4 linked regions of the Diceros bicornis minor genome follow. The protein of the gene in region 4 interacts with the protein of the main gene of each other region in a pairwise test. Links are inferred from orthologs where the notes say so. Each region holds a gene or a part of one and is shown on either strand. Other genes may lie near its edges. The genes, in order: ARMCX1, KIF9, ZNF276 and ZBTB8A.

Evidence for each region.
Region 1: the proteins of ZBTB8A (region 4) and ARMCX1 interact in binary tests that used the Homo sapiens proteins (3 or more experiments, as listed by UniProt). The two-hybrid records come from large-scale screens. The link is inferred for Diceros bicornis minor from reciprocal best matches to the Homo sapiens genes ZBTB8A and ARMCX1.
Region 2: the proteins of ZBTB8A (region 4) and KIF9 interact in binary tests that used the Homo sapiens proteins (3 or more experiments, as listed by UniProt). The two-hybrid records come from large-scale screens. The link is inferred for Diceros bicornis minor from reciprocal best matches to the Homo sapiens genes ZBTB8A and KIF9.
Region 3: the proteins of ZBTB8A (region 4) and ZNF276 interact in binary tests that used the Homo sapiens proteins (3 or more experiments, as listed by UniProt). The two-hybrid records come from large-scale screens. The link is inferred for Diceros bicornis minor from reciprocal best matches to the Homo sapiens genes ZBTB8A and ZNF276.

What each region holds. Positions count from the first base shown.
Region 1 is NC_080781.1:94,604,161-94,612,064, forward strand, and holds the start of ARMCX1 (armadillo repeat-containing X-linked protein 1), read left to right. Parts: upstream 1-4,903; 5' UTR 4,904-5,017; intron 5,018-7,063; 5' UTR 7,064-7,171; intron 7,172-7,904. Other genes in the region: ARMCX4 (armadillo repeat-containing X-linked protein 4), read left to right, coding at 1-1,836. UniProt on the Homo sapiens protein: Regulates mitochondrial transport during axon regeneration. Increases the proportion of motile mitochondria by recruiting stationary mitochondria into the motile pool. Enhances mitochondria movement and neurite growth in both adult axons and embryonic neurons.
Region 2 is NC_080741.1:48,642,217-48,649,556, forward strand, and holds the start of KIF9 (kinesin-like protein KIF9), read right to left. Parts: upstream 3,016-7,340; 5' UTR 2,764-3,015; intron 2,675-2,763; exon of another isoform or gene 1,132-2,674; 5' UTR 1,103-1,131; coding exon 1,075-1,102; intron 1-1,074. Other genes in the region: KLHL18 (kelch-like protein 18), read left to right, coding at 3,236-3,364. UniProt on the Homo sapiens protein: Essential for normal male fertility and for progressive motility of spermatozoa.
Region 3 is NC_080771.1:38,054,447-38,061,680, reverse strand, and holds the start of ZNF276 (zinc finger protein 276), read right to left. Parts: upstream 3,004-7,234; 5' UTR 2,649-3,003; coding exon 2,423-2,648; intron 1-2,422. Other genes in the region: VPS9D1 (VPS9 domain-containing protein 1), read left to right, coding at 3,691-3,789, 5,078-5,153, 6,681-6,773, 6,878-7,040. UniProt on the Homo sapiens protein: May be involved in transcriptional regulation.
Region 4 is NC_080752.1:47,225,744-47,233,352, reverse strand, and holds the start of ZBTB8A (zinc finger and BTB domain-containing protein 8A), read right to left. Parts: upstream 3,011-7,609; 5' UTR 2,684-3,010; intron 1-2,683. UniProt on the Homo sapiens protein: May be involved in transcriptional regulation.

The sequences.
Region 1 (7,904 bases), on a different chromosome or scaffold from region 4:
GCTGGCTCTGGGAGTCAGGCCAGTGGAAGGTCCTGGGTTGGGGCTGGAGGTCAGGCTCGTAGTTGTTCCAAACCTGGATTTGAGGATCAGGCTAGGGGAGGAGGCTCCCAGGCTGGTGCTAGGGATCAGACTGGTGGAAAATCCTGGGCTGGGTCTAGGCCTGGAAATGAGGCCAGTAGAGGGTCTAGGCTGAGGCCTGAGGACCAGGCCAGTGGAAGGTCCCAGGTCAGTGCCAGGACAGAGGCCTATGAAGAATCCTGGTTTGGGGCTGAAGGTGAGGCTACTACAGGGTCCTGGTTCTGGAGAGGGGAAGAAGTTGGTTTTGTATCCAGGCCTGGAGGTAAAAACGAGGCCAGTAGTGAGTCTACATCAGGGGCTGGGGAGGAGTCCATCATTAGTTCCAGATTTGGGGCTGAGGACAAGACCAATATTGAGTCTTGGATCAGATCTGAAGAGATGGCCTGTATGGATTCCCGTGCGGGGGCTGAGGCTGGGGCTGGGGCAGGGGCTGAGGCCGGGAAGGAGTCTTGGCTCTGGGATGGAAATGCAACCACTACAGGATCTAGGCTTGGGGCTGGGGAAAAGCCTGGCATGCGGTCCTGGACTTTGGCTGAGGATGTAGATGAGGATGAGCTAAGTAGAGCATCCAGCCCTGATATTGAGGAGATCAGTTTAAGGTCTTTGTTTTGGGCTGAGAGTGAGAACAGTAATGAGTCCAGATCCAAGAGTGAGAAAGATGTCAATTCTGAGTGTAAGGCCAGCACCAAGGATAAACTTGAGGCTGCTGGTGGAGTCGATGTAAGGTCTTGGTTCTGGGCTGGTAATGAAAACAGAAGTGAGGACAAATCTACACCTAAGACTAAAGCCAAAAAGTCAGCTGAGTCAAGAGGCACATATCCGTCCATGGTCCCTGGGGCAGGAATGGGGTCATGGGCAGGAGCCATGATCTGGACAGAAATGAAATTCCCATACCAAAATGACTCCTGCTTCCCACCTGAAGAGGAACTCAGAAAGCAGATCAGGTCTGGGGAGAAAACTCAGCCCTGGGCCTGCCGCTGTAAACGTGAAGCTAATATGGATCCACGAGAACTTGAAAAACTCATTTGCATGATTGAGATGACTGAAGATCCTTCTATTCATGAAATAGCCAATAATGCTCTATATAACAGTCCTGATTATCCATTTTCCCATGAAGTCATTCGTAATGCAGGTAAAATCTCAATTATTGAAAGCTTGCTCAATAATCCCTACCCCAGTGTTAGGCAGAAGGCTTTAAATGCACTGAATAACATCTCAGTGGCTGCTGAAAATCATAGGAAGGTTAAAACGTACTTAAATCAAGTATGTGAAGACACCATCACTTATCCCTTGAATTCAAATGTGCAGCTGGCTGGACTAAGATTGATAAAGCACCTGACTATTATTAGTGAGTATCAGCATATGGTGACAAATTATATTTCAGAATTTCTTCGTTTGTTAACTGTGGGAGGTGGAGAAACTAAAGACCATATTTTGGGAATGCTTTTGAATTTCTCTAAAAATCCATCTATGACAAAAGACTTACTCATTGCTAATGCACCAACATCACTGATTAATATCTTTAGCAAGAAAGAGACAAAAGAGAATATTCTTAATGCTCTTTCACTATTTGAAAATATAAATTATCATTTCAAAAGAAGAGCAAAAGTATTTACCCAGGACAAGTTCAGCAAAAATTCCCTTTATTTCGTATTCCAACGACCTAAAGCATGTGCCAAGAAACTTCGAGTCTTAGCAGCAGAATACAATGACCCTGAGGTGAAAGAAAGAGTTGAACTGTTATTAAGTAAACTCTGATTAGTTTTATGTTTCCAAACAAAGCTGAGTAATATTTTGGTTTTGCAGACTGGAAATAATGCACATTGTAAATTGCATTATAACTTCAAAACTGATGTTACTTATGATGGTCTATAGTTGGACCACTTTATGAACACCAAATGAATTCAAACTTGTACTGAAAATACATGTGTTGATTTTACCTTGTCTGGATTGAGATATTTTTAGTATGCTTCATGAGCAGAAACTGAACTGATTCTTCATAAGTAAGGTAATCTTTGGTCCTTTGTGTGGACTTATGTTTATATATTTGAGACTTTATTTTTATGTCATCAATAAAGTTGTGTGTTTTAAGCAGAAAAAAAGAGACATGTCTTTGTCCTTGAGTGTATGATCTATTTGGAAAGACAAGATGTATGGAAAAAAAAGATATTAACAAAACCGGGAGCCTCTGATCATGGCCAGCTGCTTCCTATTAGTGCTTACAGGTGGCAGAAACTTCTGCAGGCAACAGTGCTCAGGGAAAGTTTTACAGAGGAGGGGACACTTAAGTAAGCTAGGCTTGAAGGATTGGATAATAATGGGGCAAAAGGGCATTGGAGGAGGGAGGAGTGGCGGGAAGAAAGGCATGGAGGTGGGAATCCTGCTCCAGAGAGGAGGCTGGGCTGCCTGGAGCGCAACGTGTGGGGAGGGGAGTGATGGGAAATACGGTCTGGCAGTTGGGGTGAGTCCCATTCGTGGAGGATCCCTGACTGCTAAACCGAGATGCCTGCGTATCACTCCATCCACCCCTGGGAGACACCAAAGCCTTTCGTGACCAGAGGAGTGACAGGATGAAAGTAAAACGGTGTGGCTGATTTCTGTGCAGGATGGGTTGGAGTTGGGGGTGGGGACAGGAGTGGCCACTGGAGATTGGAACACCACTTAGGAAGTTACCACCATCGTCCAGGCGTGAGATGATAAAGGCGTGAAATTTCACTGCTGGCCGTGGGAATGGTAAGGGGAGGAAGGAAGTGAGAGACCCTCTGAAGGAAGAAGTTCTGGAACCTATTCTGGGGGCATACAGAGAGGGACAGTTTTCTTTTAGGGGCCTGGGGCCATTTGACAGGAAAACGTCCTCTTTCTTGGCCAACTCTTGGTGTCTATGTAAGTGAATACGTTAGTTATTATTTTGAAATCAGAAAATATACTAGAAGAAAGAATAATTTTTAGTGCTTCTATCAGATTACTTTTATAAGGTTGGTTGGGGCAGGATCTTTATGGAACCATCACGAGGGCTGTTGGTATCCATACTGGAGAAGATCCACAACTCTCCCACCCCAGAGGGTGGTGAGGGTGTGTGGGGAGGGGCACTCTCAGACTGTGCTGGTGGGAGCCTACACTAGGACGAGGTCAATTTGGATACATGTTTCAGAAGCCTTCAAGATGTGTGTGCTCTTTGACTCAATAATTCCACTTGTAGAAATTCATCCTTAGGAAATAATCCAATAATTGGCTTATACAAGGCTGTGCATCTTTTCACTGTTTTGAAGATTGAAAAATCATCAATGACCCAAGTGTCTTAAAATAGGCATTTGGCTAAGCAAATTAGTGTATGTCTGCACATTGAAACATTATGCAGCTCTTGAAATGTTGATGGGCATCTACACGTATTTACTTGGAAAAAATTCAGCATATAATCTTAAGCGAGGAAAATAGGCTGCCAAAGCACATGCCATACTTTTTACGAAGAAAAAGTATATATTTAAATTATCTCTATGTATAAACTTTGGTGTATACTCTGAGAATGTTAGTTGTTTCCTATGGGTGTTAGATTAATGGTGATCGTATCTGTTTTTTACTCCTCTGTATTTTCTGATTTTTATATAATAAACCAGGATTTTTTTGCATAATTTATCAAAAGGAATCGGATGGATTCAGGCTAAGCAGACTTTTCAATAGCATATCAGAGGACTAGAGAAAAAGTATAAATGGAGGCTCACATATTTATGTGTAAATATTTGGAAGGTATAAAAAATATTATAAATAAATATTATTTAAAAAAAGCTGTAAATGTAAGTGCAAATGTTTGGAAATTTAAACTTTAGTAACTGTGTTAAAAGTAAAACTGTTCTCAATTCTAGCATTTGATGGCCACCAACTTTCTAGTGGAAAAAATGATGTCAAACTTGTGGATTCTGCAATCTGCTGCCCTAATCTTCCTTCGGGAATAGAGGGCTTATTATTTCAGTTACTAGGAGTGCTCTTCCAAGGTCATACCCCCTTCCTGGGGTACTTCCCATCCAATGACTGATCAACATGGCCTTCTTGCCCCAAATGAGACAGCTTAACTTTTCCCTCCGTCCAATTCTGCTTCCTTCTTTTCCCTTCCACAGGTGTTGATCCCAAGAGCATTCCCTAATAAAAGCCCTTCATGCTGAACTCTGTGTCTGAGTCTGCTCTCCAGGAAGGCAAGCTACAACAGTTGGTATGAGAAGTGGTTCAGGAAAGCATACACTGTGATGAAATTTTGGAGGTGGATCATCTGCTGCCCAGCTGGCAATGAGGACCCCATCATTGGTGGTAGGTGGAGTAGATAGGCACCTAGAACAGGTGGCAGAGGAATTGTTAGAGCTTTCACTGGTGGTGAACTGGGATAGCACTGGTGAAGGGAATGCATTAACTGGTGCCAGGTAACAGCTTTGAGAAATATGTGGGAAATATTAAATATAAAGAAGGCCATAGGGCCGGCCCCGTGGCTTAGCGGTTAAGTGCTCGCGCTCCGCTGCTGGCGGCCCGGGTTCGGACCCCGGGCGGGCACCTACGCACCGCTTGTCAGGACATGCTGAGGCCGCATCCCACATACAGCAACTAGAAGAATGTGCAACTATGACATACAACTATCTACTGGGGCTTTGGGGGGAAAAATAAATAAATAAAGTTTAAAAAAAAAATAAAGAAGGCCATAAAATTGGGTGGCTATTGCTAAGCTTGATTAATCTGTAGAAAAAAATAATGAAAAGCTGAATTAAGTTAATCAACAATTAAAAGCTATATGTGAAAGCCTGAGGGCTTTATTTATAGCATATAATGAGGTCCTCATCTTTTCCAGGTAGAGGGTACAGAAATCTGAGGACCAGGCTCAAGACTTATTGAAAGCAAGCTTCAAAAAAGTTAAAATCCCAACCAAGTCAAATCTGCTGTGTCAAGATCAGGGTCCTAGGTAGGAAGGAATGGGGACCCTCACATATGGTATGGGGACATCTGGATTGATATCCCTAAAAATCTTGTATCCTGAGATTTCCCTGAACTGCTTGAGCATTCAGAAGTGTCCCACTCCTTCCTTTTAAGGGCTAGAACTTCATTTTGCTTGAACATGCAGAGCCTTTGTAAGATAACGTGTGTTTCCCTCAGAATCTGCCTCAACCTCCCATCCTGGCTGCTGGGCCTATATCTAGGGTTAAGTCACAGTGTAACCTCATTGGGGTTGTGCTGGGCCTCATAAGGAAGGAAAGGGAATACCCCAAGAAGGAGCTGTGGGACCTAGCCAGCGTGTACTAGCAGGTGCTGAGGGAGTAAGCATGGGACTGAATTCTGAGGGCCTTGATCAGGGGAGCTGGAATATAAAATTGAATAAAGGAGAATTAATTGATTTGAGAATTCTCTCCCAAGATAGAGGATTGAACACCCTGGGAAAGACCCCAGGAGACCATGTGAACTCACTACTAGAATGGCTCCTCAAAGTATGGAAAAAACAATGGCCCATATTAAGTGAGGTATGAATGCCAGAGTTTCCATAGCAGATGATGGGAGAAGGGATTAAAGGCTCAGGGAAGTGGGAATGATAGAATAAATGTATGTAAGGCCAGAAAACCCTCCTGAGGACTATGTTCTGCAGGTAGACCCAAAGGGTACGCCATTTGCCAAAGCTGTAAAGAATGCACCTGTGAGAGGGGCACCAGCATCACTTAGAAGTTCAGTGGTGGCTCGCCTCTGCAGGCCAGGGCTCAGAGTAGGAGAGGATGTTACAGGATGAGGGTAACTGATAGAAATGGCGATGGCTCTGAAACAATAGAGGCAGGATGACTGTACTCAACTGTCAGATGTTAGGTAGATGCAAATACCATAATGTACCACAGGGTCAGAGTGGCAGGCAGAGAGGCCTGACCTGCAGAGAGCTGTGGAGCTGGTTAATATAACACAGTGCCCCTGCCGAATAGATGGTTAAGAGGTAGTTAATAGAATGCAGGTGGTTAATATAACAGTGCCTTGGGGAAAATAGGCAGCCAACAATCTATACAATCAAAAGAAATCAAAGATGATCAAGAGTCTGAGAGAAGTTGCCTCAATAAAAAGTCACAATCCCTTGGCCAGCTTCTGGTCCTAAGTCATTTTTTGATCTAGAACTCACTGTTTGAAGGAGAGGCTGGGTTCCCAGAAAGAAGGACCCTATAACATATATGTAGTAATGATTCCTCCAGTTTTTCCATTTACTCAGGTAACTGTGCACTGGGAAAAGAGGAATACCCAAACATTTTGAGGACTGATGGTCACTGGTTCTGAGTTGATATTGATACTCAGAGACCTAAAGTGTCATCATAGTCCCCCTGTTAGAATAGGGTCAGATGGGAGCCTGGTATTAAATGGGCTCCTGGCCTAGTTCACAGTGGTTCTACTGGGTCCACAGACTCACCTGGTAGTTATTTTCTTGGTCTAGGAATGTATAATTGGAATAGATATTTTGATAGTTGGTACAAGCCCCATGTTGTTTTCTTGGCCTGTGGAGTCAGAGCTATTTGTAGATGAGAAGGCCAAGTGAAAGTTTCTGAAACTGCCCTCTACTTCCTCGGCCAAGATAGTAAATGAAAACGTACAGCATCCTGGGGAGGACGGCAGAAGTTAGTACCACCTTTAAAGACCTAAAGAATGCCGGGGTGTGGTCTCACCATCATATCTTTATTTAATGCACCAGTTTGGGCTTCTGCAAAACGTGGACAGAGCCTGGTATATGACAGTAGACTACTGCAAACTCGACCAAGTGGTGACACAAGTGCAGCTGCCATGTCAAATATGCTGTCTTTGCTAGAGCAGAATGACATGGCCTTAGGTACCTAGTAATTAGCTATTGACTTGGAAAATGTGTTTTTTCCTATCCCTCTCAGAGTGGAACATCAGAAAAAGTTCACATTCGCATAGAATGGGCTACAGTATACATTTATAGTTTTTCCTCAAGGCCCTACTAACTCTCCTGTCCTCTGTCATAATATAGTCTGAAGAGATCTGGACTATCTGAATATAATACTAGTCCACTATGTTGATGACATCATGCTAATTGAACCAAAAGGAGTAAGAAGTGGATAGCACATTGGAGGCCTTGGTAAGACACATGTACACCAGAGGATTGGAGATAAACCCTATAAAGATCAAGGGGCTGGCTACATTAAATGCAGTTTTTATGGATTGAATGGTTTGGGGCATGCCAGGAGATTCCCTCTGAAGTAAAGGACAAATTATTGCATTTTTCACCTTCCCCACGAAGATGGAATCCCAACGTGTGGTAGGCTTCATTGCGTTCTGGAAGCAGCAGATTTCATACCTGGAATTATTGTTTCGACCCATGTACTGGGTGACACAAAAAGCTGCCAGCTTTGAGTGGGCCCTAGAGCAAGAGAAGACTCTATAGCAGGTCCAGGCTGCAGTTTCAAGCAGTCCTGCCACTTGGCCCATATGATAGATAGACCCTAATGTATTAGAGGTATCTGTGTTGGCAAAAGTTGCCATATGGAGTTTTTGGTAAGCCCTAATGGGAAAGTCACAGCTTAGTCAAGAACTTAGGTTCTGGAGCAAAGCCATACCACATGCAATGGAGAATTATGTACCTTTTGAAGACAGTTTCTGGTATGCTACTATGTCCTGGTATAGATGGAATGCCTGGCCATAGGACATCATGTGACCATGCAAGTGACTATGCAGCCAGAACTGCCCATCATGAGCTGAGTTGTGTCAGATCCACCAAGGTGTAAGAGTGGGCAGGCCCAGCAACAAGATGGAAGTTTTATACACAGGATCAAGCACAAGCAGAACTGGAGGACACAAGCACCTGCACAATC
Region 2 (7,340 bases), on a different chromosome or scaffold from region 4:
CCCTGTCAAGGTCGGACCAGTTCAATAAGAAACGAGGCATTTGCCCCTAAAATAACCTGTACATTCATGGGGCAGGAGAGAGGAGTTGAGGCTAAAGAAAACTCCTGGACACTTTTGAAAAAGACAACCAGCAAAGGAGTTTGCTGAATTTACAATGAGTTAGAGAAACACGGGCCATAGGGAGCTGACTCAATTTCATCTTCAAATTGGGAAATAGCAATATCGACACAGTTATTAAGGAAAAAACAGCTTGCTTGTGCTACTGCAAAGCACTCTAAGAAATAAACTGATATGATATTTAATATTTTTAAAAAGCTAATTTTCAAGACCTTTACTGTAAAGAAAAAGTCATGCATGACAGGGATTTCTTCTTTTAATTACAGTTAATTATTTCACTTTTTAAAAATGCACATTAAATAAAGAATATTAAAATTTGACACATATTCTCTAAGAGAAGTTCAATGAGTGTTACCCGATAAAAATGATTCCAGATTTTGAAATTATCATTGACCCTCCACATTTCTAGACACAACTTGTGGGGACCACTTGATTTCCTCTTACAATTATAGTAACTATCATCAAGTGGCATTAAGTATCTCTATAGAAGCAAGTTAAAAAGAGACAGGCCCCCCTCTTTCAGTTTACAGTTTCAATGCTGTGGACAGAGTAAAACTCTAACCCCTGTTACAAGCACTTCAGATGTCAAATCAAATAAGCAAATATGTTACCTTCATATTTGCCTATTGGAGAGTGTGTGTCCACTTCCTACATTCCTCCAGTAATTATTTCATGGAAGTCTTTTCCAAGCCACTATGGGATCATTCAGACCTTTTAACTTTTAGAAAATGAATCTGAAAGGTATTCAAGTAAGCAAGGATAATGGCTTGTCCAATTTCAGTTCTAAAATTTTTCTCTACAAAATTGAGCTCTAGAAATAAAAAGCCACAAAGAGCTCTAACACGAATCCCAAATTGAGGAAATTGAAGAGAACATCTCATCTCCAAGTTCACTTTGTTCTAGGCTATTGGGAAGGTGAGTGGAGGGAGGTGTGTTTTGACTCAAGCAAATACTTACCCTCAATCTCTAAAGCTCTAGGAACCATTTCCCAGACCAGTTCGAGGGCCCATCCTCCTGTCCAGGGAAGGTAAGATGCTGCCCAAGGTGCCCTTTGAAAAGGATCATAAAGAAGCAGGCCAGGTCTGGGGGCAGGTGCCCAGGCCTCCCTCCCGGCAGCCCCCACTCACTGACAGCACAGGAGGCCAGCTCCAAGCATCACCCTCCCCTCAGAGCCAGCCCCTTCTCTGCCCTGCAATTTGCCAACATGCACATGCAGTCACCCTATTTGTGCTTCCCAAGGCCCTCCCCGTGCTCACACCCATGGCTCCAGGCATGCCAAAAGTAATATCCAACTGAAGCAAGCCTTCTCTATTAACTACATCCCTCCTGTGAATCTGCTGCTTAGCAGCCCCTCAAGACCCACACATTTGGAGACCCCATGCCATCTTGCACTTACTGAAATAATGCTTGTTACCGTTCTTACGCCGCATCATTTGAGTGGGCTTCAGTTCCCAAATTAAATTACAAGCTGCTTGAGGGATAGGACTGTGCCTTTTATCTCTTTTGAATCCCCCCTCAACGTCCAGAGCAGTGCCTAGCACAGAGCAAGATGCTCAAGAAATGGTGGTTGGTGGTGATGGTCACAGCTGGAAGTCAGAGGGTGGCTGAATCTCCATATGTGGGTCCATCTTCCGTCACTACTGAGATAGTTCCAAGGGGCATATGATGTCACTCCCCTCCCACACCACCTCCAACTCCTAAGCCCACAGCCCTTCCAGGAGGACACTTGGTTTCCAGGCACCACTTGCAAGAAGCCATGTTCAGCCTCTCACCACGCCCTCCCTTTTAGTGGGGTCCTTCTCCCTCAGGACCTTGTAGGGAATGCCCCTTTCTCATGGGCACCACTCTTCGATATTTCTGGCATAAATAAGTGAACCTCTGAGTGTGGCCACCAGGAGACCTCCCTGCTGAGAGGCTCGCGATATCACCATGGTTTTAGGGGTGAGAATGAATAGAATTGCCACCAAGGACCCCTTAAGGCTCGGTAAAAGGAGAGGGAGCGTCTCCTGGGCCATAGGCACCAGGCGGGTCCCTACTTTCCAGCGCTCCTGCCCAGACCAGGGGATCTCATGGAGAACCCTCATAACCACCAAAGCGGCAGGAGCATCTAAACCCCAAAACACAGAGGCCAAACGCACCCAGCCTTGAGCTAAACAAAAGACTCGGATCCAAGCAGAACTGGCCTTATCTCCTTTTTCACCCAACATGCTGGACCCCTGTGCGGAGTGTGGGAGGCAGCGGAACCTGGGACCATTCCTGTCTCTCTCTGGAGCGGTTTCCTCGTCTGTAAAGCGAAGGGCTCGGAATGGCGATCCCGAAGACCCCTCCAGTTCGAAAACCAACTAGTACACAAAAGTCCAGAAGATCTCTGGTCCTCTGCCTTGCGCCCTCTGAACCTCAGGCGCGAAATAGGACCGTTGTGGGGCCACGGAACGTTAGATCCGAAGACCCTATGCCGCAGCCAGGCTGAAAGGGCCCCGGCGATGCCACGCCCTCCTCTGCTCAGGTTTCACAGATCATCGAAACAAGCTAAGGAACTCCCCTGTGGAGCGGTGTTCGGAATCCAGCCGCTGACCGCCCCTCAGGTGTACACCCCCTCTCCGGCCTCCCTTCTCTCCATCCCGGCTGCTCGTGGCCCCTGCTCACCGCTCCCGAAGTAGCGGCCCTCCGGCAGCGCAACGGCTGACAGCAGCGACCGAAACCTGGCACGCACCGCTGCCCGGCTGTGTACACAGTCGCCATGGCAACGGGCCGCTTGCGGAGATTCCGGAAGTATCCGGATGGTGGCGGAAATGAAGTCCGCAGTCCTCTGTTGAGACACGAGTAAGATCAGGGCAGAATTGGGAAGACGGGAGATGGGACTGATTAATCTAGGAAGACTGCGGCAGCTGCAGGCGCGAAGCCAGGTCGGGGAAAGCAGCGGTAGGAAGGCTGCACATGAACAAGGAAGCGGGGCAGCAGCGCTTCCGGCGCAGAGCCGTCGGTGACTACGGCGGCCGCGCAGGCCCAGCTGGTTCCAGCCCTGCGGTCCGAGCTGCAGTCGGCGCGCCCCCGCGCCCCGCCCTGCTTAGTTTCGGGCCGGCAGGCCAGGCCTGCGCAGTCGCGGCGGCCGGGGAAGATGGTGGAGGACGGCGCGGAGGAGCTGGAGGATCTGGTGCACTTCTCCGTGTCCGAGTTGCCGAGTCGCGGCTACGGCGTCATGGAGGAGATCCGGCGGCAGGGCAAGCTGTGCGACGTGACGCTCAAGGTACCGAGGGCCGGGCGGCGCGGGGACGAGGGAAAAGGGACCTAGTGAGGAGGAAAGAGGGACGGGGGAATAGAGGAAGAGAGGTCTAGCGGGCAGAGGGGTGGGGAAAGGAGGTTGGAGGGAGACCGAGTACGGGAGAGAGAGCTGCCGAATGGGAGAGGGGGATTGGGGCTGAGTGGGGAGACGGACAGGGACAGCCTCTCAGCCCTTAGAAGGAAAGGCTGAGATGTGCGCCGTTGAGGCCCTCGGAGTGCGAGACATTGGGGTGCCCGCCTCCCTTTTCTGTCACACAGAAAGAGAAAATGGACTTGCAGCCCCTCTATGGAGGAAGGGGCGGTGTCAGTCTCAACTTTCTGATGGGCACCGCTGAAGCACCTTCTGCGACACCGTAGACATAGTTTTTTGTCTCTCAAAGTTAGCTGTGCTGTTGTAGAGGCGCAGGCTTCTCTTTAGGAGTCCTTGCTTGCCCTTGATTGTTAGATTACTATTTGTCTCTTAAGAGCTTTTAAAATCAGATCTGGAAGTCTTTTGAGGTGGGCGGCTACTCTGCCCCACACTGGAAGACACACCACTACCACAGAGGTCTCAGAGAATGGACTGATGGGCTGCGTAGGGAGAGGGATCTTAACCACCTGTTCCCCACTGGCATTCTGGGCGCAAGAGCCAGCCTTCCTCCTGTGCTTTGCATCCATGCCTACTGGAGAGGCATGTGCTGTGCTGCTCCTTGGCCCAGCTGCTGAGCCACGTGGAGCCCTCCAGGTGGGGAAATGCTGCTGCAAGCCTTGTTCTCTGGTGGGCTTTGACTGGAAGGCTCTCAGCATCTGTGGAAGACCCTGTTTAAAAACAAAACTATGCAGAGATCATTTTGCTCTTCTTATTTTCTACAGGGTTAAGGAAACTTCTGCTTCCACATATTTGAGTCAGACCCCTGGAGACAGTAGAGTAGAATGGTTAGGAGTGTGGCTTTGGAGATAGAAGGATTTGGATTAAAATCCTAGTTGTAACCTTGGGCAAGTTAATTAATCTCTCTAAGCATCAGTTTTCCTAATGTAAAAATGGGGATGATTCCTAATTCTCACTATTAGTGTAAGGATTAAATGTGAAAATTTATGGTATTCTTTGCATAATGCCTGGCATAAGTATTTCCACAGTTTAAACCCCTCCCACAGGAGATTAGTTTTCCAAGAGAGGAGTGAAGTGGCCTGAGAGGGGAAAGGATCTTTAGAAGGAAACCATGGGGTTTGAGAAAAATGAGCTGGACTAAAGGAGGTAGAGGAAGTAAATACAAATGAGAGATTTTTGTCCATGGTGATTATGTGACAGAAGATGTTGAGGCTACTAGAGATTTGTAAGCAGAAGAATCATCTGGTTGTGGCGGTAACACTTGGTGTGAGTAGAGACTGGTGAAAAGCAGTAATAGGGGAGAGTTTTTGGATTAAGATTTAGGCTGTAGGGTGAGCCAGGGAAAGCTTGTAAGACACAGAGAAGCAAAAAGGACATGATAGAGTGGGATGGTCACAGATACTTCTACATAAATTAAAGCAGTGCATTTTGCCTCTGCATTTAATGCGGATATGGAATATAGCAACTCTTCAGCATAAAAATGCTTGGATGATTTTTCCATTAAAATGTTTTTTGTTCATTCAAAGGGACAAGTAAATTATCAGAGGTAGTTCCAACCGAGAGTGTCAGTCTAAATTGCTGTATTAGTTTCAAGGGTCTGGGCCATAAGGACCAGTATAAAGCCACAGGCTAGAGCTGGACAGGACCATAGACAGCATCTGCTTCCTTGGTTTTCTAACTCTCCTGTAGAGCCTGAGGAGCCCCTCGGTAGCAGTGTGATGGTGGGGCCAGAGAGAAGCCAAGCAAACCGGGCTCTGCCTCATTTCACTCCCCTTCATTAGAGCTGCTGTATGAAATCTGTTTTGGTCTGTCTCTTTCAGGATAGAGTCTTTCCTGAAACTTCTGGTGATTCCAGACTGTCTTCCAAATAGATAGGCACTGAAAATCTCATTGGAAGCTTTTTGGTGTAGGATGGGTTTATTGACTAGTGGGCCTCCCTGTAGGGCGGTGGTTCTCAAACTTCAGTGGGCATCAGAATCACCTGGTGGCCTTGTTCAAACACTGGTTCTTGGGCCTCACCCCAGAATTTCTTGTTCAGTAGGTCTGGCATGAGCCTGAGAATTTATATTTCTGACAAGTTCTCCAGTGATGCTACTCCTGGCCTGAGGCCACATTCCTAGAGCCACAGGATGATAGACTTGTCTTTTTCAATGGGATATGTTCGGAGTCCATGGATCTTCCTTCAGGCTTCTGCCTAGGTGGAATAAGCCTGACTGTTATCACTCTAGGAGCCTTATGGTGGGAGGGGACTGGAGTCTCTTGCTTCTGTATGCAGACTTTGACTTAATCCCCCTGAATGGTGCCACTTCCTTGTCTTCAGTGGTGCCCTGGTTACCCAGGTCTGGAGTCTTTAGTTCATCCTGTCCAGAGAATAAACCTCCAGTCTTCTGCTGGGGTGGTGACAGAGCAGTTGCTGGGGAAGGGCACCAGTACTGCCTGTTTTCAACCTTCCTTATGCACGTCTTCAGAGGAAACCTGTGTCTCCAACAGTTGAGTTTTGGAGGGGGTTCTGCAGTGGCTTGCCATCTGCAGCACTCAGTATTCTCCATCTAAGTCAGTGACTTTTCATTTGTCTGCTTTTCATCTTCCAAAATTGGGTACCCTTTCTAATCTGCTCTCTCTTTCAGCTTCTTTTTCCTTGGAAGCTTTGCTGTTCCTTGATTGTCAGTCTGAGAGGTAGTATAGCCCGACTGCCTGGGTTTGAATTCTGGCTCTGCCACTTATTAGCTGTGAAAACTTGAGCAAGTTCCTTAAATACTGGTGATTCAGTTCCTTCATCTATAAAATGGGGATCATCTCCTACCTAGTAGGAGTGTTAAGGATGCCATTAGTTAATACACTTAAAACAGTTATGTAGTAAATGCTCAATAAGTAGTAGATATTTATGAATAATAACTTAATGGGGTTTCCAGAGGGAGTGGAGATAAACACATATGTTCAACCTGCCATTTTGAATTTGCTTTAGCTTCTGATGAATTCTGGATGATTTTATCTAAACATAATGTTCATTGCCTTAAAAGAGTTTGCAGACCACTGCTCTCTCTCAGTAGCTTGCAGTTTTACAGATGAGAACCCAAGCCCAGAAGGAGAAGGGACTTGTCCAAGGTCACAGATTGAGTTAGGCAGAACTAGGACGAGAGGCTAGACTCCTGGTCTCCGTAGTCCAGGTCAAGTGTTCTCTCTTTTTCTTTTCCCCTCCCCAAAGCCCCAGTGCATGGTTGTATATGCTAGTTGTAAGTCCTTCTAGTTCTTCTATGTGAGCTGCCGCCACAGCATGGCAACTGACAGACCAGTGGTGTGGTTCCGTGACCAGGAAATGAACCCGGACCGCTGAGGCGGAGAGCGTGGAACTTTAACCGCTATGCCATCAAGGCTGGCTCTCAAATGTTCTTTCATGCGCTCCTGTTGCTCCTACTGTCACTGACAGTGACTGAACTGATTTCAGCTGCTACTATGTGAATTAATCTACCTTAGGTCATTTGTATTCATCCTTAACAACATGTCATCTTTTCTACCTTCGCGAGTTTTAGGGAGAGTATGAAAGTCAGCTTTAGCAGGCATGCCACATTCTCAAAATTCACTGCCAACTCTTGAACCTTGCTTAACTTTCTTTTTGGAAATATTTGAAATTTAAATTCTTTGGGTTCCTGTTGGATAGTTAAGTAGAGGCATAACAGAAAACGGTAATATATTGGATTTTTTTTAATCACATTCTGTATCTGTGGTGACTTGAAACTCTGAAAAACTGAAAGCGATGAATCTTCCCCCCAGAAAAATGCACCTACTTACATATGTGCAAAATTTTGCATTCAGTCTTGAGAGCAATTCCCCTTAAGCCCATCTTTGGATCTTT
Region 3 (7,234 bases), on a different chromosome or scaffold from region 4:
AGGGAACAAAAGCAAAAATAAACAAATGGGACTACATCAAACTATAAAGGTTCTGCATAGCAAAGGAAACCATCAACAAAATGAAAAGGCAACCTGCCGAATGGGAGAAAATACTTGCAAACCATATATCTGATAAGGGGTTAATACCCAAAACATATAAAGAAGTCTTACAACTCAATAGCAAAAACACAATCCAATTAAAAAAGGAGCAGAAGATCTGAACATTTTTTCAAAGAAGACATATAGGTGGCCAACAGCTACGTGAAAAGATGCTCAACCTCACTAATTATCAGGGAAATGCAAATCAAAACCACAATGAGATATCACCTCACTCCTGTCAGAATGACTATTATCAAGAAGACAGGAGAGGGGCCGGCCCCGTGGCTTAGCGGTTAAGTGCGTGCGCTCCGCTATTGGCGGCCCGGGTTCAGATCCCGGGCGCGCACTGACGCACCGCTTCTCCGGCCATGCTGAGGCCGCGTCCCACATACAGCAACTAGAAGGATGTGCAACTAAGACATACAACTACCTACTGGGGCTTTAGGGAAAAATAAAAAAGGAGGAGGACTGGCAATAGATGTTAGCTCAGGGCCGGTCTTCCTCAGCAAAAAGAGGAGGATTAGCATGGATGTTAGCTCAGGGCTGATCTTCCTCACAAAAAAAAAAAATAATAAATAAATAAATAAAACTGTTTAAAAAAAAAAAAAGAAGACAGGAGATACAAGTGTTGGTGAGGATGTGGAGAGAAGGGAACCCTTGTGCACTGTTGGTGGGAATGTAAAATTCCATAGTGCAGCCACTACGGAAAACAGTATGGAGGTTAGTGGAAAAAAAAAAAAAAGAACTACCCTATGGTCCAGCAGTTCCATCTTTGGGAATATATCCGAAGGAAATGAAAACACTATGTCAAAAAGATATCTGTACTCCCACATTCACTGCAGCATTATTTACAATAGCCAAGATGCGGAAACAACCCCAGTGTCCACTGATGGATGAATGGATAAACAAAACGTAGTGTATGTGTATACATATGTGTCTGTATATATGTATATATATATATACACATACACAGTGGAATACTATTCAGTCATAAAAAAGAAGGAAATCTTGCCTTTTGCAACAACATGGATGGACCTTAATGGCATTAAGTGAAATAAGTCAGGCAAAGAGATGAATACCGTATGTTCTCACTTATATGTGGAATCTAAAAAAAAAAATTGAACTCATGGATACAGAGAACAGACTAGACTGGTGGTTACCAGAGGCAGGGGAGTGGGTGAAATGGGTGAAAGTGGTCAAAAGGCACAAACTTCCAGTTATAAAATAAGTCAGTCTTAAGGATGTCATGTACAACATGGTGACTACAGTTAATAACACTGTATTGTATATCTGAAGTTGCTAAGAGAGTAGATCTTAAAAGTTCTCATCACAAGAAAAAATAATCTGTGTGTGGTGATGGGTGTTAACTAGGCTTATGTGGTGACCGTTTCACAATACATACAGATATCCAATCAAAATGTTGTACACTTAAAACTAATATAACGTTATATGTCAATTATATCTCTATAAAAACTTTTTTTCAAAAGACATAGATCTAAAAGACTTTTTTTAAGTGAATCAACAAACGTCTTCACAGCTGTGGAAACGCCATTCCTCCTCACAGCATCCTCCGGAGGCCACAGCGACGCCGTGTCCGCGCTCTGCCTCCCTGGGCCTCCTGACTGCAAGTGCAGATGGCGCCACCCCTCTCTGCCCGGGAGGCAGCCGTTCTCCGGGGGCAAACGCTCTGCACGCCCCGCCAGGCTGGGACCGGGCACCTTCCATTGCACCCACCGAGTTCTCGTAATGGCGAGGACGGGAGGCCCCGAGAGCTTAGGCAGTTATCTCAAGGCTACAGAGCACAGGGCAAAACCAGGACTGAAACCCAGGCCTGTCCGAGCGCAGAACTTGAGCACTAATCACTTAAGGAGCTCGGAGTGGGCTCGACAGCGTCAGCTGTCCTGCGAAACACCGCGGCGCAGGCTGCCGCCGACGCCACGGAGAGGCCGCCCTCCCCCGCTGTCCGCGGGAGGCCTGGTCTGCTTCCAGGAGCCCGACGGCGCCGAGGGCGAGAAGAGGCCCTGGGGACGTGGTCACTGGGGAACTGGTGGTCACCGGTGGTCACTGGGGGACGTGGTGGTCACTGGGGGAACTGAGGGAACTGGTGGTCACTGGGGACACGGTGGTCACCGGGGGACGTGGTGGTCACTGGTGCTCACTTGGAGGACGTGGTGGTCACTGGGGACGCGGTGGTCACCGGTGGAGGTGGTGGTCACTGGGGGAGTGGTGGTCACTTGGGGAACTGGGGGCCGCGGTGGTCACCGGTGGTCACCGGCGGCCCCGGCCGCACCCTGTCCCCCCGCCCCTCAGCCCCTGGACCCACCTGCCTCGTCGGCGCCGTCCTCGCCCGCATCCCCGCAGGCCCGAGCCCGGCCCCAGCCCAGCCGCGCCGCCACCAAGGCCGCCGTCTCATCCACGCTCGGTCCGCTGCGAGCGGGGCGGCCCCGAGCCCGGCCGCCGCCGCCGCCGCCGCCACCGCCGCTGCCCGAGCCCCCGCGCTGCCCCGCCGCCCCAGGCGACAGGAAGCGGCCGAGCCGGTCGCGCTTCATGGCGGCTACCGCGGCTACAGCCCGGCCCCGGCGCTCCGCCAGGTTCGGCCTGGGTCGGTTCAGCTCGGCCACGCTCGGCTTAGCTCGGTCCCGCTCGGCCCGGCTCGGCTCTGCTCGGCTAGGCCCGCCACTGCTCGGCCCCACTCGACCTGGCTCGGCTCCGCTCGGCCCCGCTCGGCTCGGCCCCGCTCAGTTCAACTCGGCTCTGCTCGGTCCCATTCAGCCTCGCTCGGCTTGCAGGGGCCGGCCGCTTGGCCCAGCTAGGTCCTGCTGGTGCCGGAGTCTCTCCTCCGCTCAGGTGGACTGTGCTCGCTCGTTTCCGCTCAGCTCCGCTGTTCGGGTCCGCTTGACTGGAGGGGGGCGGAGCGAGTGATGAGGGTGAAGGGAGAGGGGCGGGACAGAGTGAGGAGAGCAAGAGCGGGGAGAGGAGAGGGGGCGGGACGGCGTGAGAGCAAGGGGCGGGGCGAGCGGTGAGGGGCGAGGCGGCATGAGGAGGGCAAGGGGCGGGGCGAGGAAGGTGAGACAAGGGGCGGGGCGGCGGGTTAAAGTGCTAAGAGGCGGGGCAGTGTGAGGAGAGCAAGGGACGGGGCGAGTGGTGAGGGACAGGGCGCTGTCAGGAGGGCGAGGGGCGGGGCGAGGAGAGGGGCGGGGCGACGAGGAAGGGAGGGCACGCGGAGGGGGCGTGAAGAGGGGCGTGGCGGTGTTAGGAAAGCAAGGGGCGGGGCGAGCGCTGAGGGGTGGGGCCCGTGAGATTGGCGTGTCACAGGCGTGGAGTGAGGGCGCCGGTTGTTGCACTCGCACGCTCGTGGCAACTGCGTGAGCAGGTTACTTGAGAGCTTCGCCATCCCCATCTCCTCCCCTTCGGCCCCGGGAACTGAGCACTCGGGGCGGCAGGGGCGGGGCCGCCGGAAGTGTGCCCGCGCCGGTCCTGCCTTTTCCCGCGGTCCGCTGCTCGGGCGGCGCCCGCGCCCGCTCAGGGTACGTTCCGGGCTCCGGGCCGCCCGCCCCGCCCCTCAGCCGCCGCCCCCCCGCCCGACAAACCATGGCCGCTGCGGCCGGGGACGGCGCGGTGAAACCGCTGCAGTGCGCCATGAAGCTGGCCAACGGGGCCATCGAGCTGGACACTAGCAACCGGCCCCGGGTGAGGCGAGGCGAGGCGGGGGCGGTGGCCGCGGCGCAGACCCGGGGGCGGGGCGGGGCCACGGGGTGGGCGCCGGCGGGACCCTCGGGCGGGACCCTCGGGCGGCGGGCGGGGCACCGGGCTCCCATCCGCCGGTGACCTTGGACAGCTCCCGTCCTCTCGCTCTGCGTCCTCCATCCGTTTAACGAGTGGGCAGTCCCGTGGCCGCGGTTTTGTTTGTACTGGGATTCAGAGGGTCTGTGAAGCGGCCCTCCAGAACGTATTTGGCGGACAGGTCCATGTGTATGTGTATTTTCTGGGCAGACACGGTAGATTTCATCAGATCCCCAAAGGGGAGGCGGTCCGGAAAAGGTTAACCCGGCTTCCAGGCGTCGTCCGAGTGTGCTTGGAAGGGAGGGCGGCGGGGAGAGCTGCGGCTTGTTTCGAGAAGGGGTGTTTCCAGGTGGAGAAGCCGGCTGAGCCACGCTGGGCTGTCCAGGGAGGGGGAGACTGCCTGTGCCCAGGAGAGGCGGCCGGCGCCGCTATCCGCTGCCTTCCCCAAGTTGGTTTTCTAGAGCAGCAGGTGCCAAGTCAGAAATCCTTCGCGGAATCCATTTTATCCTTATCTCTGAGGTGTAGACTTAAAGACTGGTAATTTGAGAACTGGGATGCAACAAAACAAACAAAAAACAAAACACGATGCTGTTCCAAATGCCCTGAGCTCTGTCAGGGAGCCCTGAACAGAATGATCCACCCTTGAAACTGGTGATAGTCTAGTGTTCCAGACTCCTACATGCCCAGGGAGTACTATGCTGGGGTTCAGGAAAGGGATTTCCCAGAACCTAAGCCAGAAAGTGATTCTAAGATTTGCAACATCAGTCCCTTTAGTAACCTCCCAGGAAATATTTTTTTAAAGCCACTGAATGAACGGCTTCTGAGTTGTACAAGAAGGAAACTTGTTGCATAGAGTGAAAAGTGACAGCAACTGCCAAGGCCACTTCCCCTGGCCCACTGAATGAGAGTCTTCATTCCTTCCTGTGCTGGAGAGAAAGGCAGTGAGAGGAGGGATGGATGCCCAGCCAGGTCTCTTTTTTTTCAAGTCTGGAGAAGAGGGATCTGATCTGTGCCCCAGGCAGAACATCACTGATTAGACCGGGAGGAATTACCAGCTAACAACTTCAGGCTCGCTGTCTCAAGTGTATCTCACAGGAACCACTGTTCCTGTGTTTCCCACAAGGGCACCAGGCGGACGTAATGGAATAGTTTGCCTCCACTGGCCCAACCCATGCCTTCTCTCCCCTGGGCACAGGAAGCATATACAGAATACCTAAGGAGCATCCACTACATCGCCCAGGTACTGCTGGAAGAAGTGGAAACCACCAAAGGTACAGTTCTCAGCCTCGCTGCTCCTTCCGCACTGGGCAAACGGTGGACAACTTAGCCGGTGGTGGGTCCCTGGGGGTGTCCTGTGTCCTACCCACTTGGTCATTAGCGGAAGGTGAACGGGTGTGCACTCAATAAGCACGAGCTGTCGCACTGTGACGCGGGAGTGGGAAGGGATGGGTGCTGTGGGGAAGGGATGGGTGCTGTGGGGAAGGGGATGGGAAGGTGGTGGAGGCATGACCAGAGACTGGACATTGAACCCCAGCCCAGGAAGAGTACGGGGGTAGCATTCCCAGCAGAGAGATGTGCAAAGGCCCTGAGATGAGAGTGGGTGCTGGGTACCAGGAAGGCAGGCTGGAAAGAGGAGGGTGCAGTTGGGGCAGGCAGGGCCTTGGGTGGAACTGGGGTCGTTCTGGTGTGAGGGGAATCTCGTGGAGGCTTGTGAGGGGAGACCAGCATGGAAGCAGACCCTCCAGGAGGCGCCCACAGTGAGGTCAGCAGTGGTGGGACCACCTAGAGGTGGGAGGAATGAAGGACTTGGGGATATTCTTTAAAGGTAGACCTCACCATGCTTGCAGGCAGGGCAGGGGGTCGAGCCACTGGGGGGGACAATGAGCTGCTGGGGGAATGGTGAGGCACGGGGCAGGGTGCACAGGGGTGGCAGGAGCAGACTTGTGGGGGAGGAATGGAGAGCTGCATCCTGAGCACATTCTGCTTGAGGTGTCCAGCAGCCCACTGAACACAGAAGCACAGCAGTCAGGGAGAGGCGGGAGTCACCAGAATGGAGCTGCCCTAGGGAGCCAGTGACTTAGCAGGGCTCTGGCCACTCCGAGATTGAGGACTGGGAGGGGGGGCGCAGTGGGAGTGTCCTTGAGAGGGATGTCCTGGAGGAGAGAGGACCTGAGAGGTGGGGGAGCCCTCAGAGCAGGGCAAAACGTGGCTGGGTGAGTGAGGGCAGTTTCAGTGGGAGTCAGGGGCTAAAACAGGGTGTGGGGAGGGGCCAGCTGTACAGGGAGCAGGAGGTGGGTCAGGAGCGGGGGCTGGCAGGGTCCAGAGGAGAGTTTTGGGTGCCAGCTCCTACAGCATGTCTGCTGGTAGGAGCAGTCCCCAGAGGAGGGAATGCAGAACAGAAGCTACAGGGAGGCGCCAGGGGTGGGGTTGAGCACAGCCAGAGGGCGGGAGATGGGTGATGAAGCCGTCTCTGTGAAATGGCCTGTGTCTTGAGGAGAGGCTCTAGGTGTAAATGAAGCCCTCAGTGAGGAGAAAAGGCCTGGTTAGGTAGAGAGACGGCTCCAAAGGTCCAGCTGAGAAGACAGGACAATCAGTCAGATGCTGGGCTGGCCGAACTCGGAGTCCACACAGGGTCAGGAAGTAAACCCGGGGCAGATGGTCAGAGACTAGGAGGGAGTGGGGTCACCCAGGGGTCAGAGGTGAGGAGGAGATGGGCTTGCCTCTGTTGTCATCTCAGCAAGAATCTGATTAGTGATGAGAGGTGATGGTGACCAGCCTTCTTATCCCTTGCTCCCCAGAAGCTGGGGAAACTGTGTCCCTGGACACCTCGAAGATGCTGAAACTGGCTGAGCAGTGCCTGGAGAGGGCCCACTCAACAGCTGCCAAGCTTGGTGGGTCTGCAGCAAAAGGTTTTCCTGGAGCACCCCTCAAGTCTGCATCTCCTCTATGGAATGTGGGGATCCCATGATGACCCTTGGCTACATATGTCTTGCAGGGAAAACACGCCTGAAGCCAGCCATGCCTGTGGCTGCTCCTGTCCCCTCACCTACCACCCGACATCGCCGGGTGTACTCAGATGAGGGGGGGAAGCTCTCTCCATTTCTGCCGCCTGAGATCTTCCAGAAGCTTCAGGTGGTAGAGTCGCAAAGCTCTAAGAAGTAAGATGGGGCAAAATAGAAGGTGGGCTGAGCCAGGGTTTGAAGGCAAGACAAAGTGAGCTAACCATGTGAATTTAGTTGAAAGGGGTCCCAGAGTGGAAACACCCTTGTGCTGGCAGAAATGAATGCAAATTGTCTTTGGAGCAGAGCAGCTTCAACTTTCATAAAATGAATGGCAAACAGAGATAACCAAG
Region 4 (7,609 bases):
ATCTATAAAAGTCCCAAGAATATTAAAGAAATCAAGATCTCCATCAACTTCAAAGACCTTTAAAAAGGTGGATGGAAAAAACAATTATGTATTTTATAAACCATTAAGTTCAAAGATCTTTGGAATAGAAGGAAAAGACAAGAATTTCTATGAGTAGACTGAAGATTTAGGTAACGAGTGTAACTTGAATTAAGGTTGTGGGCTAGAAGACTACCTCTTTTAAGATATATAGTCATTTATCTAGAATTTAGTGTGTCCCATCAGGGTCACCCAAACAAATCTCATCAGCCTCCTTGGCAAAAACCCCCGGGTCAGAAGGAACTTCAGCTAACTGCATGGTAATTGTATTCTTTGGTGGATAAACATCTTTTAACACTGGAAAAGATTTAGAATTAAGTATAAAACGTTTAAGAGAATCAAAACCATAGCTGGGAAAGTCTTACTGAGAAGATGGCATTTAAGTCAAGTCCAAAGGAGAGAGAGAGAGTCATGTGGCTATCTGGGGGAAGAGTGTTCCAGGCAGATGGAACAGCAAGTGCAAAGGCTCTGAGGTGGAGCAGGCAAGGAGGGCTGGGGAGAGCAATGAGAGATGGAGTCAGAGAGGAAGGGCAGATTGTGAGGTGGGTAGGATATCATGGGACCAGTTCCTGCAGGGCCTTGTAGACTATGTGGGGGCCTCTGGCTTTTCATCTGAGTAAGATGGGGAGCCACTGACCAATTTTGAGCTAAGAAGTGACAAAAACTTCTCTCAAGGGGAATCAAACAACTTACATCAAATCCTTTAAATATTATAAACATGTAATTATGTCACTGAAAGGGTTAAGCCTATTAGATGGAAATTTTGTTTTAGCTAGAAAATACGATTTAAATGATAGAGGATGAATTAAGTATTACTCTATTTTACACAGTTATTGCTGGGCCCAAATCTTTACCAGCAGAGCTGGTAATTTCAAGGCCATGAGATAAGGTCTGGCAAGGTGCCCTCTTTCATGGCGCTGGAAATTTATCTGACCTAGGAGTCCAGGTACTCATGATGCCTCCTACGGACATCTTATACCCGAACCCACACGCACCCATTTGGTTAAATTCTCACTTCCCCTTTACTGCCTGTGTGGCCAGAAAGGTCCCCAAGAATAACGACATGAGACCCCTGGTTACCAGTGAAGGGCGCTTGCTCCCGGGCTCCCAGAAACCCATCCATACCTGAGGCTTGGGTGAAATTAGACTAGAGAGGAAGTATGGGCCTTGGTTCTTCTGAGGATTTTGGACTTTCTTTCTGATAAAAACCAGTTAAGGTTTTTAGAGCAGGGGAGCGACGTGACCGACTTGCTTTCCATAAGACTCTGGAGGTGCCTTTAGGAGGGAATGAAGAGCAAGAACAGGAAGCGAAGGCGGTTGGGAGGCTGCCATGGTTCGCCTCCTGGCTTAACGCTTAAACTCCGCGCTTACCGCGTTTCCTCATCTGAAAAGTGGAATGACTATCGGCCCGACTGGGTGGTTGTTTTATGTGAAACAATTCGTAGAGGTGAAAGCACTCCATTTACTAAATAAAGTTCTGCAAATATAAACGTTTATTAAGAATAGAAGTAATACTGACGTGTGTCGTTAAAAGCCCACTAGGTGGGAATCTAGCGCTCCCAAATACGTCTTGGCCTAAACGTTAGACCAATGTTATATGTCAATTACATCTCAGTTTAAAAAAAAAAAATCAAAAGAAAACACGTCTTTGAAAGATGTGCAGTCTAGCTACTGGCACAATCAACGATCAATAAGCGCATTTGAAGGGGAAGGGGCCAAACCGCTAACTTACAGAAGAGCCAGTCTACACGGGTAGAAGGTGCGTATGTGTGCTTCCGTCATAAAATAATTACAGCTCGATATTTGTTAGGTGCAGACAAGTCTGCCTTCGGTTCTAAGCCCGGATCTGTCGCATCATGATAAAAAACCAAAGGATGGAGGATGTACCGAGACACTCGGACTACCGCCCCGGGAACCACCCTCCCGAGGAAGCGCCCGGGACGGCGGGGGAGAAGCCCCGGGCCCCCCGCCCGCCCGGCCCCCGACGCCCCATTGGGCGGCCCGCCCGTCACTCGCCGCGCAGCCCGAGCCCCGCCGGCCGCCGACCCGCCGGGAGTCCGCGGCGCCCGACGGCTGCAGACACGCCCGGCACCGTCCCCGCGCCGCCTTCCCGCCGCCGCCGCCGCCGGGAGACTCCGCGCGCCTTCCCGCCTTTCCCCGCGCCGCGGCCGGCCGGGCGGCGACGGCGAGCCATTGTCCCGCAGCCCCTCCCGGGCGCGGGGAGGGGCGGCCGCGGAGTCCCGGAGCCGGTGCGCCCCGGCGCCGCCCGCCTCTCCCCGCGGGCCGCCCGGGCCGCCGCCCCGAGGCCGCGTCCTCCGCCGCCGGCGCCCGCGCCTCCTTTGTGACCGTCTCCAGCCCCTCGGAGCCGGCGCGCCGCCGCCGCCGCTGCGCCCCGGGCTGCAAATGGCGCCCGCTCGCCTCTGCGCCTCCCGCCGCTCTCCCGCCCCGGGACGTCTGGGGGCGCCGCGCCCGGGCCGCATCCCGCCGCCAACGCCGCCCGGGCGGTCAGAGCCCGCGGCGCCTCCGCCCGCAGCGAAGCTCGCGGCCGGCCCGGCAGCCCCGACGCCCCGCCCGCCCTCCGCCCGCGCCGCGCGCAGCCACTTACCGCGGGCCGCGGCGCACCGGCGGGTCGCGCGCGCGGGCTGGGGGAAGACTCCCGGTTCCCGGCAGGGGAAATACCCCCTCTCGAAGCCGTTCCTTTACGCCCTAAAACAAGTAGCCCCAACGTGAGAGAAACAAAAGGTATTTGCTGACGTGGGCGTTGGACAGAAACGCCCGAGGGCTGGGGACACAATTAAAGGGGCAACGCACAGATTTCAGGCACCAACCAGCAGCTTCGCCCACTCCCCCTGCCCTTGCCTACGCCCCGCTGCACCCTCCGGAGGCACTGGGGTGCCCAGATTCCCCGGCAGTTGACTACGGAATCATTATTTAGTCAGGAGCTGAAATTTAAAATTGTGCTTTACGTTGGGAAAGGCGCCTCCGGAGGGCAGAAGGGCTGGATTTCTAGGATCTGGGGAATTTGGTTTAGGAAAGAGGGAGGGACTTAGGCGTGCCCACAATTACTGTATAAGTACATGTGACATTATTGTACTTAAGTTTTGCAACGTCAAATGTAAGAGATTTCCACAGAATTTTTCCCTTTATTGCGGCAGTTATTTTAGTCGGGGATAACCTTTTTTAAACCTCTACAGGCCACAAGCAGTTTATCTGAAGAGGAAAATCCAGAGAGGCTGAGATAAGAGAAAATAAATCTTGGTTAAGTTCAGAGAAAACATAAAACCAGTAAAAATAGCAGGTTTTGTGTTTTCAAATACCGAAATTCATTGTACATCAAGCCTTTCTTCTGACATATTTATGTCCTTAATATTTAGAGTACAAACAGGTTATATATTTGCTAGAATCTTAAATCACTGAACTTTCACTGTTACTACAAAAACATTAATTCTATAAACTAAATTTGTTTCCTAGTTTCTTATGCTGGGGTCAGGTACTGAAAAGTACTGAGATATAGTAAAACTGAAAAAAAGACTCAAAATGTCAAGACATTTAGTTTTTTGATGGATTCCTCTCCTATGTAATAATCAGTCATGTACAAAGTTTATTACTTTGGTTCATCAATAATTAGCTATGCATTTTGAGGATCATACTGTCTATGAGAAGGATACAAAATATTCACAACTATCTCTTAATGTCACTTCAGTATTACTCTTGAGGTGTGTTGCTATTTAGTTGCATTTCCTCACATTCTGAACAGGTAAGTGGAAATGTTTGAAAACCACTAGGTGTCAGGAGTGTTGATGTACTCAAGCTGCTCTGCTAGCATCCCCATTGAGAATTCTCTCAGAAAGATCTGGGCATTGTTATAGCGAAAGGTTTTATTTTAGCCTTAGTTAATGAAAAACATGCAAAAGAGTTCTACAAACTTGTTCCTCAAGAGAGCACATCAGATTGGTGATAAACTCTTTGTTGCAAGGAAGAAGTAATGGGAGTTTTTTCCTCGCTTTCCCCCTCCTAGCTTCTGAAACTCATATATATATTTGGAGAATTCCTTATGATTAATTGATGGGAGGTTTCTGCAATAGAATCTGGAAATGCTAGTGACTTGATTTCCCAGAATCTCTTGCAACTAGGACAATGGCCATGGTCTATATTTTGACAATCAGATCTATCCACCAGTGATTTTGAAGAGGGAGCTCTGACACCAAAAAGCGGAAACCTCAGAGTCTTTTCTGGCGGTGGTGACGGTTGCAGCAAGATAATATCTCCAGGTGCCCTAGTGGCAGTGCTGCTGGTGGCAGCATCCACTGTCCAGTGCTAATGCTGTCAATGGTGCCAGCTGCCATGTCTCTGTTTGCTGAGAGCAGTGTTGGTATCATCACCGGGAAGTTCTGTGCTATGACTTGGGCTGTTCTCTCTGTCCACTTAGCATAGGCTCCAGCCCCTGTGCTCTGCTCTTCCTGTGATTCTGTGAACTTTTAATACATTCGTTTCTGCTTAAATCAGCCAAGGCCAGTCTCTGTGCAACTAAGAACCCTGACTAGTACAAAATGTTAAGAAGTTATCTGGACATATGAACTGGAGCTTAATAGATGAAATTGGTTGAGATAAAATGTTGTCGTCAATGTCCTGTAGCTGGGAATTAAAACCATGGATATGGATAGAGAGAAAGACTATTGTTGGAGGAAGAGGGAGAATCCCCCTCTGCCCCTTCCCTTAAGGTTCTTATGGCTGGCCAAATAATTAACAAGACAGGTTAGCAGGAGAAAATAATACCAAGTTTAATAACATGTATACATAGGAGAAACTCAGAAATGAGCAACTCGTCCCTCTGTCTAAGCTGCTTGCTTAAGTATTGTAGCTAAAGGCGAGGAAGGTGTTGCGGGTGGGTAGTGGTCTGGGACTTCAGAGGGCAAGAAGACAATTCTTTTCAGGGTCATCTATAGATAATGTGGTCAGGGAGAGAGAGAGTTTTTTGATAAAAGGGGCTTGGTGCCCCTCCCATTGTAACATCTATTTTACATTATCATTACAGCCATCATGATAGAAGATCTGTCCCAGGAAGGAGCCACCATGTCAAATTCTTTAGGCAGTTAGTGGGGGAGGTCAAATGTCCCTCAGAGAAAACAATCAAGGTAAAGAGATAGATTTCAGGGTGGCCAAATCTTGATCTCGCACACTATAAAGTAAGAAGAGAAGGCTTAGAACCAAGCTTGAGGAACTTCATCATCTAGTGGCTGGTTACAGGAAGGTGAAATTGCAAATAAGACTGAGAAGTGGCTAGAGAGGAAGGAAGAGACTTGGAATAATGTGGTGTTATGGAAACTAGAAGAGAGTAATTCAAGAAGGAAGAATTAGACAATAGTGTTAACTACTTCTCTTAGCACTAAGAGAAAATGTCTATTAGATTTAACAACTTGGAGATCATTGACTTCAGAGAACATTATTAAGCTTGAAAGAAAGGAGCAAAACCTATATAAGAGGAATAAGTGGAGGATGAAGAAATAGAGATGATGAGAGTAGACGACTCCTTTGAGAGAGTTGGTTGTAAAGGGGATGTTCCAGTTACTATTGCTGTGTAACAAACCAACCCAAACTTAGTGGCATAAAACAAAAACTATTGTATTATGCTCATGGATTCCATGGGTCAAGAATTTGGCAAGGTACAGCAAGGATGGCTTGTCTCTATTCCACGATGTCTGGAGTCTCAGCTGGGAAGTCTTAAATGGCTGAAGATAGCTTGAACTGCTGGGAACTGGAAACTATTTCTTCGCTCATAGGTCTGGTGCCAAGGCTGAGATCACTTGAAAGCTGGGCTCGGCTGTCACTGTTATCTGGAGCACATACACATGGCCTCTCCATGCAGCTTGGGCTTCTTGCAGCGTGGTGGCTGGATTCTGAGAGTGAGTGTCCCGAGAGAGCATATAAAGAGGGGGTATTCCAAGAGAACTAGGAGGGAGCTGCATGATCTTTCATACCCTTCTACAGAAGTTGTATTGCCTCACTTACCATATTCCATTGGTTAAAGTAGTCACAAGCCTACCAAGATTCAAGCAGAAGGGGACATATATGCTGTCTCTTAATGGGAAGAATGTAAGAGAATTTAAGGCCATGTTTTAAAACTACTCCAGGCAAATAGAGAGGGTATTAGCTAGAAGGGGATATGGGTAAAAGACTTTAAAAATGTTTAACTGCTGATGGAAAACAGGAAGATGAGAGAGAGATATTGAGTATATCGGAGTAATAATTAATAGTGGCTGAATTTCTGCAAATTCAGGGAGAAGGAGATCAAAATCTCAATAGAGGAACAGCCCCTGGGTAGGAAAAGTGATAACTCCACTATCCTTATTGAAACTGGAGGGCAAAGAGAAGAGCATGGATAGGTGTGATGGTTTTAAAATGCCTACATATTCTTTGACACTCCTCCCTTCAAGAGATAGATCCTAATTCACCTCCTCACGAGTGTGAGCCGGGACTGACTGACTTGCTTCTAAAGAATAGAATAAAGCAGAAATGATAGCATGTGATTTCAGAGTGTTGGTGATAAAAGTCAAAGCAGTTTCCTGCTTGTTCTTTATCTTGGATCAGTTGCTCTAGGAGAAGCCAGCTGCCTGAGGATACGCAGGCAGCCATGCGGAGATGAATTGAGGCTTTCTGCCAACAGCCATATGAGTGAGCTATCTTGGAATATATCCTCCAGCCCCAGACCAGCCTTCAGCTGACTGCAGCCCCAGCTAACAGCTTGACTGAAACCTCATGAGAGACCCTGAGCCAGAACCAGCTAAGCTGCTCCCAGATTCCTGGCCCTTAGAAACCTTCTGAAGTAATCAATGTTTGTTGTTTTAAGCCATTAATCTGTGGGGGGTAATTTGTTATGCAGCAATAGATAACTATTACAGATTGTGGTCCCTAAAAGTGCTACCATAACAAAAACCTAAAAATATAACTGCAACTGGGCAGTGGGTGGAAGCTGGAAGGACTTTGAGATGAGTGTTAGTGAAAGTTTGAGCCTTTCAAAAAAGAGTCGAGTCCTGATGGCCTTTGAGGAAGCTGAAAGTGAGGGCTTAAAGGAAAATCATGAAAATCTTATTGGGCGCTGGAGGAAAGGGGGTCTTTGTTACGTATTGGCAGAAATGTAGCAACACTATTGCCTGCAGTAAGGTGAAAAGTAGAAAATGTACCTAATGAATTGGGTGATCTAACTAAGGAGATTTCCAAGCAGAGGGTTGAAGGGGTCACCTGGTCTCTTCTTGCCACATGTAGTAAAAGATGTAAGAAGAGAGATAAGCTAAAGGAAGGACTGTTAAGCAAAAGGAAGCCAGAAATTGCTGGTTTTGAAAATCCCCAGCCTCTCTAGGTGGCAAATAATGCTAAAATTAAGAAATAGTTTCTGAGCAAAGATTAAATCCAGGACAATGCCAGGAAAACAAAATCTAAAGATGAAATCAGGAGAGTGGCTGTAAAATCCTTTGTTAAGACCTAAAAAAGATCTAAGGTGGTACCTCAGAGTGCTGTTCAGTTAGATAAAAAG